3 linked regions of the Cricetulus griseus genome follow. Each later gene encodes a partner of the first gene's protein in a complex. Links are inferred from orthologs where the notes say so. Each region holds a gene or a part of one and is shown on either strand. Other genes may lie near its edges.

Evidence for each region. The genes of interacting proteins can lie anywhere in the genome.
Region 2: the proteins of Ap1m1 (region 1) and Ap1s1 are in contact, whole or in part, in a crystal structure (PDB 1W63), measured with the Mus musculus proteins. The link is inferred for Cricetulus griseus from reciprocal best matches to the Homo sapiens genes AP1M1 and AP1S1. Residues at the interface, in NP_031482.1 of Mus musculus: Lys12, Glu31, Asn186, Asn188, Val189, Leu190, Glu232, Glu234, Asn270, His272, Arg421; in NP_031483.1 of Mus musculus: Lys26, Lys30, Arg33, Glu34, Gln37, Lys43, Glu51, Trp52, Arg53, Asp54.
Region 3: the proteins of Ap1m1 (region 1) and Ap1g1 are in contact, whole or in part, in a cryo-EM structure (PDB 7R4H), measured with the Mus musculus proteins. The link is inferred for Cricetulus griseus from reciprocal best matches to the Homo sapiens genes AP1M1 and AP1G1. Residues at the interface, in NP_031482.1 of Mus musculus: Ser289, Asn318, Asp319, Ala320, Asp321, Ser322, Trp334, Pro336, Glu337, Asn338, Ser339, Gly361, Leu362, Pro363, Ser364, Val365, Glu366, Ala367, Glu368; in NP_001288140.1 of Mus musculus: Arg24, Glu25, Gln28, Lys29, Ala32, Arg35, Ser36, Arg39, Glu40, His64, Phe65, Gln67, Leu68, Gln97, Val99.

What each region holds. Positions count from the first base shown.
Region 1 is NW_023276806.1:247,005,752-247,009,261, forward strand, and holds part of Ap1m1 (AP-1 complex subunit mu-1), read left to right. Parts: coding exon 1-28; intron 29-427; coding exon 428-575; intron 576-3,510. UniProt on the Homo sapiens protein: Subunit of clathrin-associated adaptor protein complex 1 that plays a role in protein sorting in the trans-Golgi network (TGN) and endosomes.
Region 2 is NC_048597.1:115,987,425-115,991,583, forward strand, and holds the start of Ap1s1 (AP-1 complex subunit sigma-1A), read right to left. Parts: upstream 2,802-4,159; 5' UTR 2,677-2,801; coding exon 2,674-2,676; intron 294-2,673; coding exon 115-293; intron 1-114. UniProt on the Homo sapiens protein: Subunit of clathrin-associated adaptor protein complex 1 that plays a role in protein sorting in the late-Golgi/trans-Golgi network (TGN) and/or endosomes.
Region 3 is NC_048596.1:186,137,772-186,141,935, reverse strand, and holds the start of Ap1g1 (AP-1 complex subunit gamma-1), read right to left. Parts: upstream 2,802-4,164; 5' UTR 2,615-2,801; intron 2,609-2,614; exon of another isoform or gene 2,465-2,608; intron 1-2,464. UniProt on the Homo sapiens protein: Subunit of clathrin-associated adaptor protein complex 1 that plays a role in protein sorting in the late-Golgi/trans-Golgi network (TGN) and/or endosomes.

The DNA of each region.
Region 1 (3,510 bases):
AGACCACGGACAGCAAGATCCTGCAGGAGTGAGTGCGGGGCTGACAGGAGCAGGCCACGTGTCCTGGACAGTGCAGCCTGGGATGCCAGCTCCCCACTTGACAGGGAGACCAGGGAAAGCTGCCACTCTGCTTTTCTGGTGGGGTGGGGTCAGTGGGTGGCCCAGGGCTCAGTCCCTTCCAGGTGCCCACAATGCTGACTACTTGACTCCCCGTTCCCACCCTACACCAGCACCTTGCCTCTGAAAGTAAATGTGTACAGCCCACTCACCATAGCCAGCCACACCATACCTAGTGAGAGGCCGCTCCCGGGAGCCTGCTGATGTGGGTACTTCCAGTGGTTGGGCCTTCCCTGCTCCATAGCCCCACCCCGGTGTCAAGGCCCAACATTGCATGTTCCCCTCTATAACTGAGTGGGTGGCCCCATAGGTACATCACTCAGGAAGGCCACAAGCTGGAAACCGGGGCCCCTCGCCCCCCGGCCACTGTCACCAATGCTGTGTCCTGGCGCTCGGAGGGCATCAAGTACCGGAAGAACGAAGTGTTCCTGGACGTCATTGAGGCGGTTAACCTCTTGGTAGGCCAACTTTTCCCTTCCTTTCCTAACTTGCCGCTTTTCCAGGGTGAAAGTCAGAGGGATAAGACTGAAAACCAGCAGAGCTGTCAGGTGTGTAATCCTAGGCCTTGGCAGCAGATGGCAGGGCTTAGTTTTGGCCATTGGAGAGACCCAGCCTCCCTCTCACTTAGAATCTGTAGGGACAACATTGTGGTGGCTTTGAGAGACTGAGGTAGGGGGACCTCGAGTTCTAAACCTTCCAGGTCACACTGTCTAAGAAAAACAAAACTAGAAGGGTCCCCAAGATGACTCAGCAGGTAAAGGGCTTCTCACAAAGCCTGACCATCTGCTTTCCATCCTGGGACCTATGGTGGGAAAAGAGAACTGACTCCTGCAAGTTGCACCTCACACATGTGCACTCACACACACAAATAATAATTACAACTTAAGAAATACAGGGCCAAGGAGATGGCTCAGTGAGCCAAGTTGCTGTTTAAGCCTAATGACCAAGCTCCATCCCCAGAGGCCTGAGAAAGGTGAAAGGAGAGAACACCACAAAGTTGTCTTCTGGCCTCCACATGGAGGTGGTGACACCCGACAAATACTTATCATATACACTCATACACAGTCAAAATAACATTTTAAGTAAAAAAATAGGTATATCAGCAGAATGCTTAGGTACAAGTGTGAGGACAAAAGTTCCGATCCCAGCACACGAGTGGAAGCTGAGTGGGGTGGTGTACACTGTAACCCCAGCACTGATGGTTAAGGACAGGGTAGCCCAGCCAAATGAGATCTCCAACTCAGTAAGAGACCCTGCCTCAAACAAAGGAGGGGGAATCATAGGGCAAGATACTTGATGTGAAACTGTGGCCTCCAGGCGCTCACACACAGGCATGTGCACACATGTAAAACCAAACTCATAAAGCATTATAAAGCTGGAAAGCCAGCTCTGTTACCAAGAGACCCCAAAAGATCACATATCCCAAGACTGCTACTTTTCTAGAATGCTGAGATCTTGGGTGGCTTGTGCTTTTGGGTTGTGTGTTCCTTGCTTGGTGTTTGGTGTTTGTGGTAGTAGGTGTGGACCCCAGGAGCTCTGTGCACAGGGTGTATTAGTTACTTGTCTGACTGTCACAAAATATCTGACAGGTGCAACTTCAGGGACAAAGGGTTCATTCTGCATCACAGCCTGTCACAGTTGGGAAGTTTGATGACAGGAGTATAGGCAGCTGTCACATGGTGTCCACAGTCAGGAATCAGATCGAAGAAGGCTGCGGTTCTGCTTGCTTCCTTCCTTTCACTCATCCAGAACTGCAGCTTGTGGGAAGGGGCCCTCACATGCTGGGTGGGCCTTCATAACTCAGTTAACCCAATCTAGAGACTCCCAGACCTGCCTCTACCCAGAGGTCTGTCTCCTGGGTGACTCTAGAGCTGTCAGGTGAACAGTCAAAAGTTACCATCACATCAGGCAAAACATTTTCATGGTGTGTGTGTATGTGCGTGCGTGCATTCAGGGGTGTATGTATGTGTATTTGTACATGTATGTATGTATGTACTTGTGTGTATCTGCATGAAGGGTGTGTATATGTGTAGTGTGTGTGTGTGTGTGTGTGTGTGTGTGTGTGTGTGTGTGTGTACCCACAGAGGCCAGTAAAGGAGTAGGGTCCACTGAAGTTGCAGTCACTGTTGTAAGCCTCCTGACATGAGTGCTGGGAACCTGGTCCCAGTGGGTTTTTTTTATTAGGTCTTGGATAGTGTATGCTCTTACAACCTGTTTCCTTTGGTTTGGTTTGTTTATTGTAGTTTGGCTTTTGTAAAAGGGTCTCACTATGTAGCCCTGGCTGGCCTGGAATTCTCAGAGATCCATTTGCTTTTGCCCCCAAAGTGCTGGGGTTAAAGCTGTGCACCTCCATACCTGGCCTTGGTTTTGTTTTGTTCTAGTACAAGGTCTTTCTATTTAGCCCTGGCTGGCATGGAACTCATGGAAATCTCTGAGCTAAATGAGATGTCTCTGCCTCTTTATTCAAAGCAAAAGAATTGAGCATGATGCTAAATACTGATGCTGACAGTCTTTTTCTCTAGTGAGCCAACTGAGCAGATGGTGAGAAGACAGAAAGGGGAACAGCCTGAGCTTGAAGCATCTGGCACTAGTACAGAGAGTCCACATTGAGTAAGACAGACAGCACTACCATACTTGAACACACAGACATCTGCCTGCCTCAGGTTCCCAGTGCTGGGACGACAGGAGTGTACCCCCACGCCTGCTGGCTCTTCCTCTATCACTGCACTTCCCTTTGTATTAGTTGCTTTTCTCCTGCTATGGTAAAACACCGTGACCAGGGCAGCTTATTAAGAGAGAGTTTACTGGGCGTATGGTTTCTAGAGGGTTAGGGTCCATAATGTCAGGGCCAGCATGGCAAGTGGCAGACATGGTGTCTGGAGCTGAGCGCTGAGCCCTCTGGCTGCAAACATGAAACAGACAGTGTGAACAGGGAATGGCATGAGGCTTTGAAACCTGAAAGCCCATCCCCACCATTCTCCAGCAAGACCACACCTTCTAAGTAAGCCCCCCTGAACAGCACCAACGGGGGACCATGTTCAAATGCCTGAGGCTGAGGACGGCATTTCTTTCAGACCACCACACCTTGTCCTTCTACTTGGAATCTGCCCACATCTTAATCAAAGTGAGTTCTGGTAGGAGCATCATTTTTTTGTTTGTTTGGTTTTGGTTTTGGTTTTGTTTTCCGAGACAGGGTTTCTCTGTGTGGCTTTGAAGCCTATCCTGGCACTCGCTCTGGAGACCAGGCTGGCCTCGAACTCACAGAGATCTGCCTGCCTCTGCCTCCTGAGTGCTGGTATTAAAGGCGTGCGCCACCAGTGCCCAGCAGGAGCATCATTTTTAAAACCTAACCTGAGACGGTGCCTAGTAGCACCCATCTGTCTTTCCAGAAAC
Region 2 (4,159 bases), on another chromosome or scaffold:
CTTGGAGCTCTCCCCGACTTCAGAGAGACAGAGTTATTTCTCAGTCGTTTTAACCCAGTGTGAACTCCAGAGCAATTCATGTACACTGAAAACAATAAATGGATGGAGTGTCACCTTTTATAGACAACTTTGAGGTCCCTCCACTCCAGGAAGCTGCACATCTTGGGCTTTCGAGCCAGCACAACCTGCATGAGCTCCCGGACCATTTTCTTCCTCTCCTTGTCCGAGGTGGCCAGGTACCATTTTTGCAGCCGAAGTTTCCCCTGCCGGCTGAACAGTAGCATGAATCGCATCTGGAAGGGAGGAAGGACCAGAGCTGAGGGGCAGAGAATGGGTTTGGAGCCTCTTTCCTTGCATGAGCGCAAAGCCCCAGACTCAGCGGTATTCACCACTACCTTCTTCAAAACTTCTGTCCCAGCTGGGTAGAGAAGAAGAATGTTCTTCCTGAGGGAAAGTCAAGCCTGCTGTGTGGGTTCCAATCCTGGCCCTAGTAGCTGAATACAACCTCAGGCAAATTAATTTATACTGGGCCAGCAAGATAGCTAAATTGGTGCTTGCTATTAAGCCTGAGTTCAATACCCATGACCCAAATTACAGAAGAGAACTGACTCCCACGAGCTGTCCTTTAACCTCTACACTCTTGCCATGGCAAGCACACATCCACACAAATAATAAGCACAAAAACATTTTATTACGTGTGTGTGTGTGTGTGTGTGTGTGTGTGTGTGTGTGTGTGTGTGTGTAGTTCAGAGGATAGCTTTTGGGAACTGGATCTCTGCTTCTACAATGTGAGCTCCAGGAATCAAATTTAGATACCCAAGCCTTGGCAGCAAGTGCCTTTGTCTGCTGATCTATCTTACTGGCTTTGTAAAAAAAAAAAAAAAAAAGTCTTTGAACCTCAGTTTCTTTACTCGAAAGACAGAAACCATAAAATTACCTTCCTTATAGAATTCTTTTAAGATTTGCTTTTCTTATTTTTTAAAGATTTATTTTACTTTATGTGTATGAAATACTCAATACTCACATGCATACATGTATGTGTCACACACATGCCTGTTGATACCCCAGAACCAGGGTTATAGATGGTTATAAGTCACCATGTGGGTGACAGGAACCAAACCCAGGTCCTCAGCAAGAGCAACACATGCTCTTAAGCACTGAGCCCTCTCTCTAGCCCACTACTATTTTTAGTTATGTGTAAGTTTATGTTGTGTGTCTATATACTGGGTATGTGCAGATGAGTGCAGGTGCCCATGCAGGCCAGAGGCATCAGATCAGGAGCTACAGAAGGTTGTGAGCTGCCTGATATACGTGTTGGGAACTGAACTGGTTCTTCTGGAAGAGCAGCAAGTACTCTCAATGACTTAGGCATCTTTCCTGCATTAAGGAATTCTTTTTTTTTCTTTGCTTTTTTTTTGGTTTTTCGAGACAGAGTTTCTCTGTGTAGCTTTGGAGCCTATCCTGGCACTCGCTCTGGAGACCAGGCTGGCCTCGAACTCACAGAGATCCGCCTGCCTCTGCCTCCATAGTGCTAGGATTAAAGGTGTGTGCCACCAACGCCCAGCTATTTAAAATTTTTAAGGACAGTTCTCTCCTTCCACTGTGAGGACTCCAGGGATTGAATTCAGGTTGTCAAGTACCTTTAGAAGCTGAGCCATCTCTCTGGCCCTCTTCTCTTTCTTTCTTTCTTTTTTTTTTTTTTTTGAGACAGGGCTTCATGTAGCTCAGGCTGACCTATATTTCATATGTAGCCAAGGCTGCCCTTGATTTTCTGATCCTCCTGAGTGCCTGGGTTACGGGTCCCAGACACCAGATCACGAAGTCCCTCACAGAGAGTCCAGTGACCCCGATGGCTCTCCTAGGGAATGTCTGTGGAATGAGAGTCCTCATTGCTTCCTGGATCTAGTTTCTTCCCAGTTGCAGGGGGCTCTTGCTTCCAAAACCTGAACTCAATTCCCAGCAAACAGATCTGTGAACACGGCCAGGGCTGGAATCTCTGGGTGTGTGCGGCAATTCAGCTTCCAGGCCATCAATTAAAAGGAACAAAGACCCCCAGAAAGCAGGGGCGGTGGCTGGTGGGGGCCAGGGGATGTGAAGAACTGAGGGAGCCGAGTGCGGGCAGGAAGACGGAAGGCCTGGGCTGGGGAAGGAAACTGGACCGCGGTGGTGGGAAGGTGGGAACGGCAGAGTCGGCGCGTCCTCCAGAGCCCAGGCTCCCCGACTACGGAGTCGGGGGTCAGCTGTGGAGACCCGGAAACCGCCCCTGCCTCCCTCCCGCCTCCCTCCTGCCGCACCGTGCGCTCAGGCGCGGGCCTCCCGGAGGGGGCTCGGCCACCGCGACCCCCGGGGATCCCGGGGCCCCTCTCCGCGGGTGGCTCCCCCGCCACGGCGCCCGGGGCGTCTCCAGGACAGGACCCCGTGTCCCGAACGCTGACCCTGCTCGGGACAGTCCCGCCACCCTGCAGCCCAACCAACGAGACTCCTCCCCGCCCCTGTCCCGAGTGCCATTTCCAGCTCCCGAGGTCGGCTCGCCCAGCCGCTCCGGGAAGTGGATCCTCAGCGGACCACAGGGAAGACAGGGCGACTCCCACCAAACGCTGCCCCCTCCGGACCCCCGCAGGTACAGCCCACGCCCCTCGGGTCCCCCGTCCCCTCCCTCTCAGCACTGCCTACCATCCTGCAGCCTCCGGCCCGGCACGTCCCTCTCCGGCCACCGTAGGAGCCCGCTCCGCGGCCCGTCGGATTCTTTTCTTTTCCCTCCCTCTCCGCCTGAAGCCCCGCCCCCCGGCCTCGCCGGCTCCCCCGCGCGGCCGCATTGCGCAGGCGCCAGCGCTGCCGCGCTCTCCCCCTCCCGGTCCCACCCAGAGGCGGGAGGGGCTGAAGGCGGAGAAGCGGAAACCATGGCAACCAGGTCCTTGACTTCAGCTTTGCAGAAGCTCGGTTGTCATGGTAACAAGGCTGTCCTGGTGGGCTGATTGGAGGATGGGAAGGGCGGAGGTAGGGGACAACGAGGGCCTTGAGCTCTGGAGCATTTGTAGGGGGGGAAAGGCGGGAAAAGGGTGAGAGGTGGATGCTCGATCTTTAGAGTTTATGAAGAAGCAAGGATGATTCCGGGAGCTGAACACGGTGTGCAGAAAAGGAGGAAAACATCACTCAAAGCGGGGTGGTGCGGGAACAGAGTTCAAGATCAGCTCAGGGCTACACAACAATATTCTGTCCCCAAACAAGCAAGGCAGGCGCGGTGGTGTACACCTGTGATTCCAACGCTTTGAAGGCAGACAGACAGGAGCAAATTGTAGCTCAAGTTCAGCCTCAGCTAAGTGGCGTGCTCGAGAGAGCCTATCTTAAGCAAAGTGACACAAAACAGTGCCGGTGTGATGGCTCCAATCATAGAGATGCCCCCCCCCCCATAGAAGGTGAAAGGGAATGACTGACCCTGCAAGCTGTCCTGACATCCACACAGTCAAGTACCCTGGTTTGTACATGCTCCCACGCAACACAAAATACATATATGAAATGTAACCTTAAAAATTTTAAATACCCGGGCGTTGGTGGCACATGCCTTTAATCCCAGCACTCGGGAAGCAGAGGCATCAAGGCCAGCCTGGTCTCCAGAGCGAGTTCCAGGACATCCATGGATACACAGAGAAACCCTGTTTCGAGAAACAAAACAAAACCAAAAAAGTAAAACAGTATAGAGCTTTAGTGTTGAGAACTTATTAGATGCAAGTGTCTTTTTTTGTTTATATATAATACATATATATATAGTGTGTGTGTGTGTGTGTGTGTGTGTGTGTAACTGGATGTGAGGGTATACACCTGTAATACTGTAGTTTGGAAAGCAGATGTAGACAGATCAGAATCAGAGTTCAAAGTTATCCTTGGCTACATAACAAGTTCACATTCTGGGCTGAGGCACTGTGTCAAAACAAAAAACAAAACCCCAAACAACAAAACAGCCAAACAAACAATAAAATCACACACACACAAACAAATAAACCAGATTAGCCCGGCATACTTTTGTGTGCCTATAATTTGATCCCTGGGGAACCAGAGGCAAGAGGATTAGTCAAGAGAGTTCACAGCCAGCCTGAGTTATGTAAAGAGAGAGGGTGTCTTAATAAATAAATAAATAAATAAATAAATAAATAAATGTAAA
Region 3 (4,164 bases), on another chromosome or scaffold:
GATACACAGAACAGTACTTTACTAATATTTGTTTGGCAAAAGTGTACTTTCTCCCAGTAAACTGCAAACCATCAAAGAATGAATGACATTTAAATCCCAGTATGTTATACCACAATACTACTGAGTTAAATAACTTTTGATAGCTCTTTCAATACCTGTTCAAAAAAGGGAACTCAAAAACAGGACATCACTGAAGTAAAGTACAAGACACTGAGTTCTTTTAAAAGCAAAAGAAAACTGAACAACTTCAAAGCAAAACACAGAATTCACATCTAACAGTAATTAATATAGTTCTGAAGGAGTTTCTTAAAACAAGTAACAAGAGCACAGAATATTTACACTGGAAATAGTGTCTTCTTTGACACTGTATGACCTATAAAGATTTACCTGCAGTCTCACTTCAAAAGCTTAAAAATAAAGAGAGGCTGGAGAGATGGCTCAGAGGCTAAAAGCATGTACTGCTCTTGTAGAGGACATGGAATCAGTTTCTAGCACCCACAGAGCAGCTCACAACTGCCTGAAATTCCACTTTCAGGAAATCCAAATACCCTCTTCCACCCGAAACGGTAATGCAAGTGATGCACATATATACATGCAGGCAAAGCACTCATACGTAAATAAATAAAATAAAACTTCAAAAGATTTTAAAAATAAAGCATCAAGCCAGTGGTGCACGCCTTTAGTATCAGCACTCAGGAGGCAGAGGCAGGTGGATCTCTGTGATTTTGAGGCCAGCCTGGTCTATAGAGTGAGGGCCAGGACAGCCTCCAAAGCTACAGAGAAACCCTGTCTCGAAAAACCAATCAATCAATCAATCAATAAATAAATAAATAAATAAAGCACCAACATAAATTTTAGAAGTACCAAGAGATATGACTCGGTTCAAGTTATAAACTTAGGTTTAAGCTGGGCGTTGGTGTCGCACACCTTTAATCCCAGTACTCGGGAGGCAGAGGCAGGTGGATCTCTGTGAGTTCGAGGCCAGTCTGATCTACAGAGTGAGTGCCAGGATAGGCTCCAAAGATACACAGAGAAACCCTGTCTCGAAAAACCAAAAAACAAAAAACAAACAAACAAATAAAAAAACTTAGGTTTAAGTCACTTAAATGTGAACTCAAATAAGTTATTTCTCTTTTGCAGTTGTAAAAACCTAGGCTGAGATAAAATAGGGGTGACTCAACCACACTCACCTAACCTGAAATGTAGGAAATAACTGGTGAATTATTGTTAATTTTTTTTTTATTAAAGCACGATAGATTGCAAACAGACATTAAAAACAGAATTAGAGTAATGAGGCTATCAGTACTTCGAGGATCCACAGGTTTCAAATCAAAACTTAAGAGGTATAAAGTCTGACAAATACTACAGGCAACGGTGGAAATGGACGCTTAAAATTCAACTACCCTGAGAAAAGTCAACATATGAAGTCAGCAAAGATCATTGCTATACAAACACCTGAAGGTTGAAGTCACTAAGAGATCATTCAGCTCGCTCTTCTGTTAACTAATCCCTATAGGAACCAAAAAAGTTATTTTCCTTTCTACCTACGTCAGATTAATATTCTCCAAGGGCAGATTTCCGTGCTCAAGCACTTACAACGCCAAAAGAATAAAGAAAAAAAAATATGTATCAGTAAGTGCCTGAAAGCTCAGCGTTCAGGGCAGAAAGGAAATCCAGAAAGTATTTTGACAGCTCCTTCCCACCTAAAGCCTCTCTGCCTGCTTTAAACCCATTTACTACTGAAATACACCCTAGGTGGTTCGACGGCTCTCCAACACCAAGCCCTAACTGGGAAGCATAACCCACAGTTCCAGGCAATGAGAAAGATCCGGAGAATTACTAGAAACGGACGTCCGCAGAACCAAGAGTTGGAGAAGAAGGTGCAGTCGCAGGTACGTTTTTAAAAAGCAGGGGCGGGGGGGAGGCGGAAAAATTTAGACCAGAAGTTAGTCGAAGGGTTAGAAGGAGGCGAGGCCGATGTCCAGTTCTGAGCAGACGGCATCGCAGGCACAGGCATTACCCCTGCATGTGGAAATGCTGAGAGTTCTCACATCTGACCCGAGTCCACGACACAAGAACACTGATAAGAGACTCGGAGAGGACACGCGGGGGTGGGGCCCGCCCCGCTAAATCCGAGGTTCCCTGAACCGGCTTTCAAAGGAGGCTCGCAGCCTGATAAAGTCAATGGGTTCAAGGAGGCCTGCACCGGCTGGACAACGCCACACTAGAGGGAGCGCCCGCGCACCGAAGCTCCTGCTCAGAAGCCTCTGAGGGTCGGTCGGCCCTCAGTAAGTCCGAGCAAGCCTTGGGGCTCCCCGGTCCCACCTGCCCAACCTGGGTCCTCCTCACCCCCCACAGGCTGAGACCGGACCCCTGGGACTGACAGGAGGTTTCCAGCCAAACGCTCGCAGCCGCGGCGGAGCCAAAGACACAACCTGCTCTCAGTGCCGCGAGTGACACTCACCGGCCCGAAACCTCGAATGAAACCAGCAGCTTCGGGGGCGGCGGCAGCAGTGGCAGCAGGAACCGAACATCCAAAATGGCGGCTCCCTCGGCCTCACCACCGCTACTGCAGGCGGAGGGATCCCGGGAAGGGAGGGAGTTTCTAACTCACTTCACGCGCTCTCGAGAAGACGGCGCTCCTCAGCTCCCTCTCCTCGTCAACTCCGCGCCCCTTGAACTGCAACCTCTCCTGTTTCCCACCTCGGACGACCCGAAAACTCGGACCCTGCCGAGGACTATTTGCCAAGGAGGAGGCGACTGCGCCTGGCAGAGCGACGCAAAGCGTAGCAAGGGTCGGGGCTGTCACTGATGACGCTAGACGCGGCTGCCGAGTCACCGCTGCGAAGAGTCTTAACTAGAAAGATCCGGCGGTCCCCAGAGTCAGCGCACTTTGGTTCCACTTGGAAGCAGGGTTGGGGAAGGAAGCTGTGCTACCAGGAAACGGTGGGGCCACCTGAGGGGGCGGGGCTAGGCAAGGTAGCTGGAGAAGGTTGAGGGAGAGGCAGGTGGAAACGCAGCACACTTAACTAGGATTTAGTCCTAAAGAATTCCTAAATCGTCCCCGTCACCTTGAGTCCTTAGCTTTGTGTTCAACTTCAGAAGCATGCTCCAAGTGGTCTTGGAGTCTGTGGTTTTATTGTATCTTCATAAAAATTTTACGAAAACAGGTAGAAGATGAAGCAGAAGAATGGGTTCCACGCACATCACCACCCCTGTGCTTTAGTCACCTAATCTCGCCAACCTTTCAGTTCCCTCCTGTGGGAAAAGAGAATCTGGATAAATGACAGCCAAAACTCCTCCAAAATTGGCTTCCAATCTACCATTAAATGAACTAATGACCTGAGCCAAAGAAAGTCTAGCTAGACAGTTCCGGACGTGATAAATAATTGCTAACTTGTGACAAAAGTCTTTTCCATGTGAATCGAGAGATCCTTGATATCTTGGCCCATTTAAAGGAAAGGTGACCTACCTAGAATAAAATCTTTCCAATAGATTGGCAACAAAGTCGTCCCGGGTGTCAACAAAACACAGTACTAGACTGAACGCCAAAGACAGGGAACTAAGCACAAATCCTAGGTTCGAGACATTGGCGTCATAAACAGGAAGTTGCACCTTTTTCCTTAGGCATTCGTTTTTTATGCAAGGATTTCAAAATACTTTACAGACGTTGAACTGGGTATGCCTAGCGGTACAGTTTTGACCTTGTATTTCTGGGGCATGCCAAGTGCCTGGAAAGAAAGGACGCCAAGGGCATGATCACATTTCTTTATTAAATATTGGTATGCCATTGTTCATAAGGCACCTTCATATGTACAACCCAACCCTGTAAGCAATCTCTTGAATCCAAGTAAGTAACCCAGTTTTACAAATAGACTTAAGACTTATCGGGCAGTGGTGGCACATGCCTTTAATCCCAGCACTCAGGAGGCAGAGGCAGGTGGATCTCTATGAGTTCGAGGCCAACCTGGTCTACAGAGCGAGTTCCAGGACACGCTCCAAAGCCATACAGAGAAACCCTGTCTCCTTAAAAAAAAAAAGGGGGGGGGGGCTTTTTAGGCAGCAGTGGTGGCCGCACTACCTGTAAGAGGCTAGGCAGAGGGACCGTGAGTTGGAGGCTAGCTTCAGCTGCAGAATAATTTTATCTCATAAAGGCCACCCCGT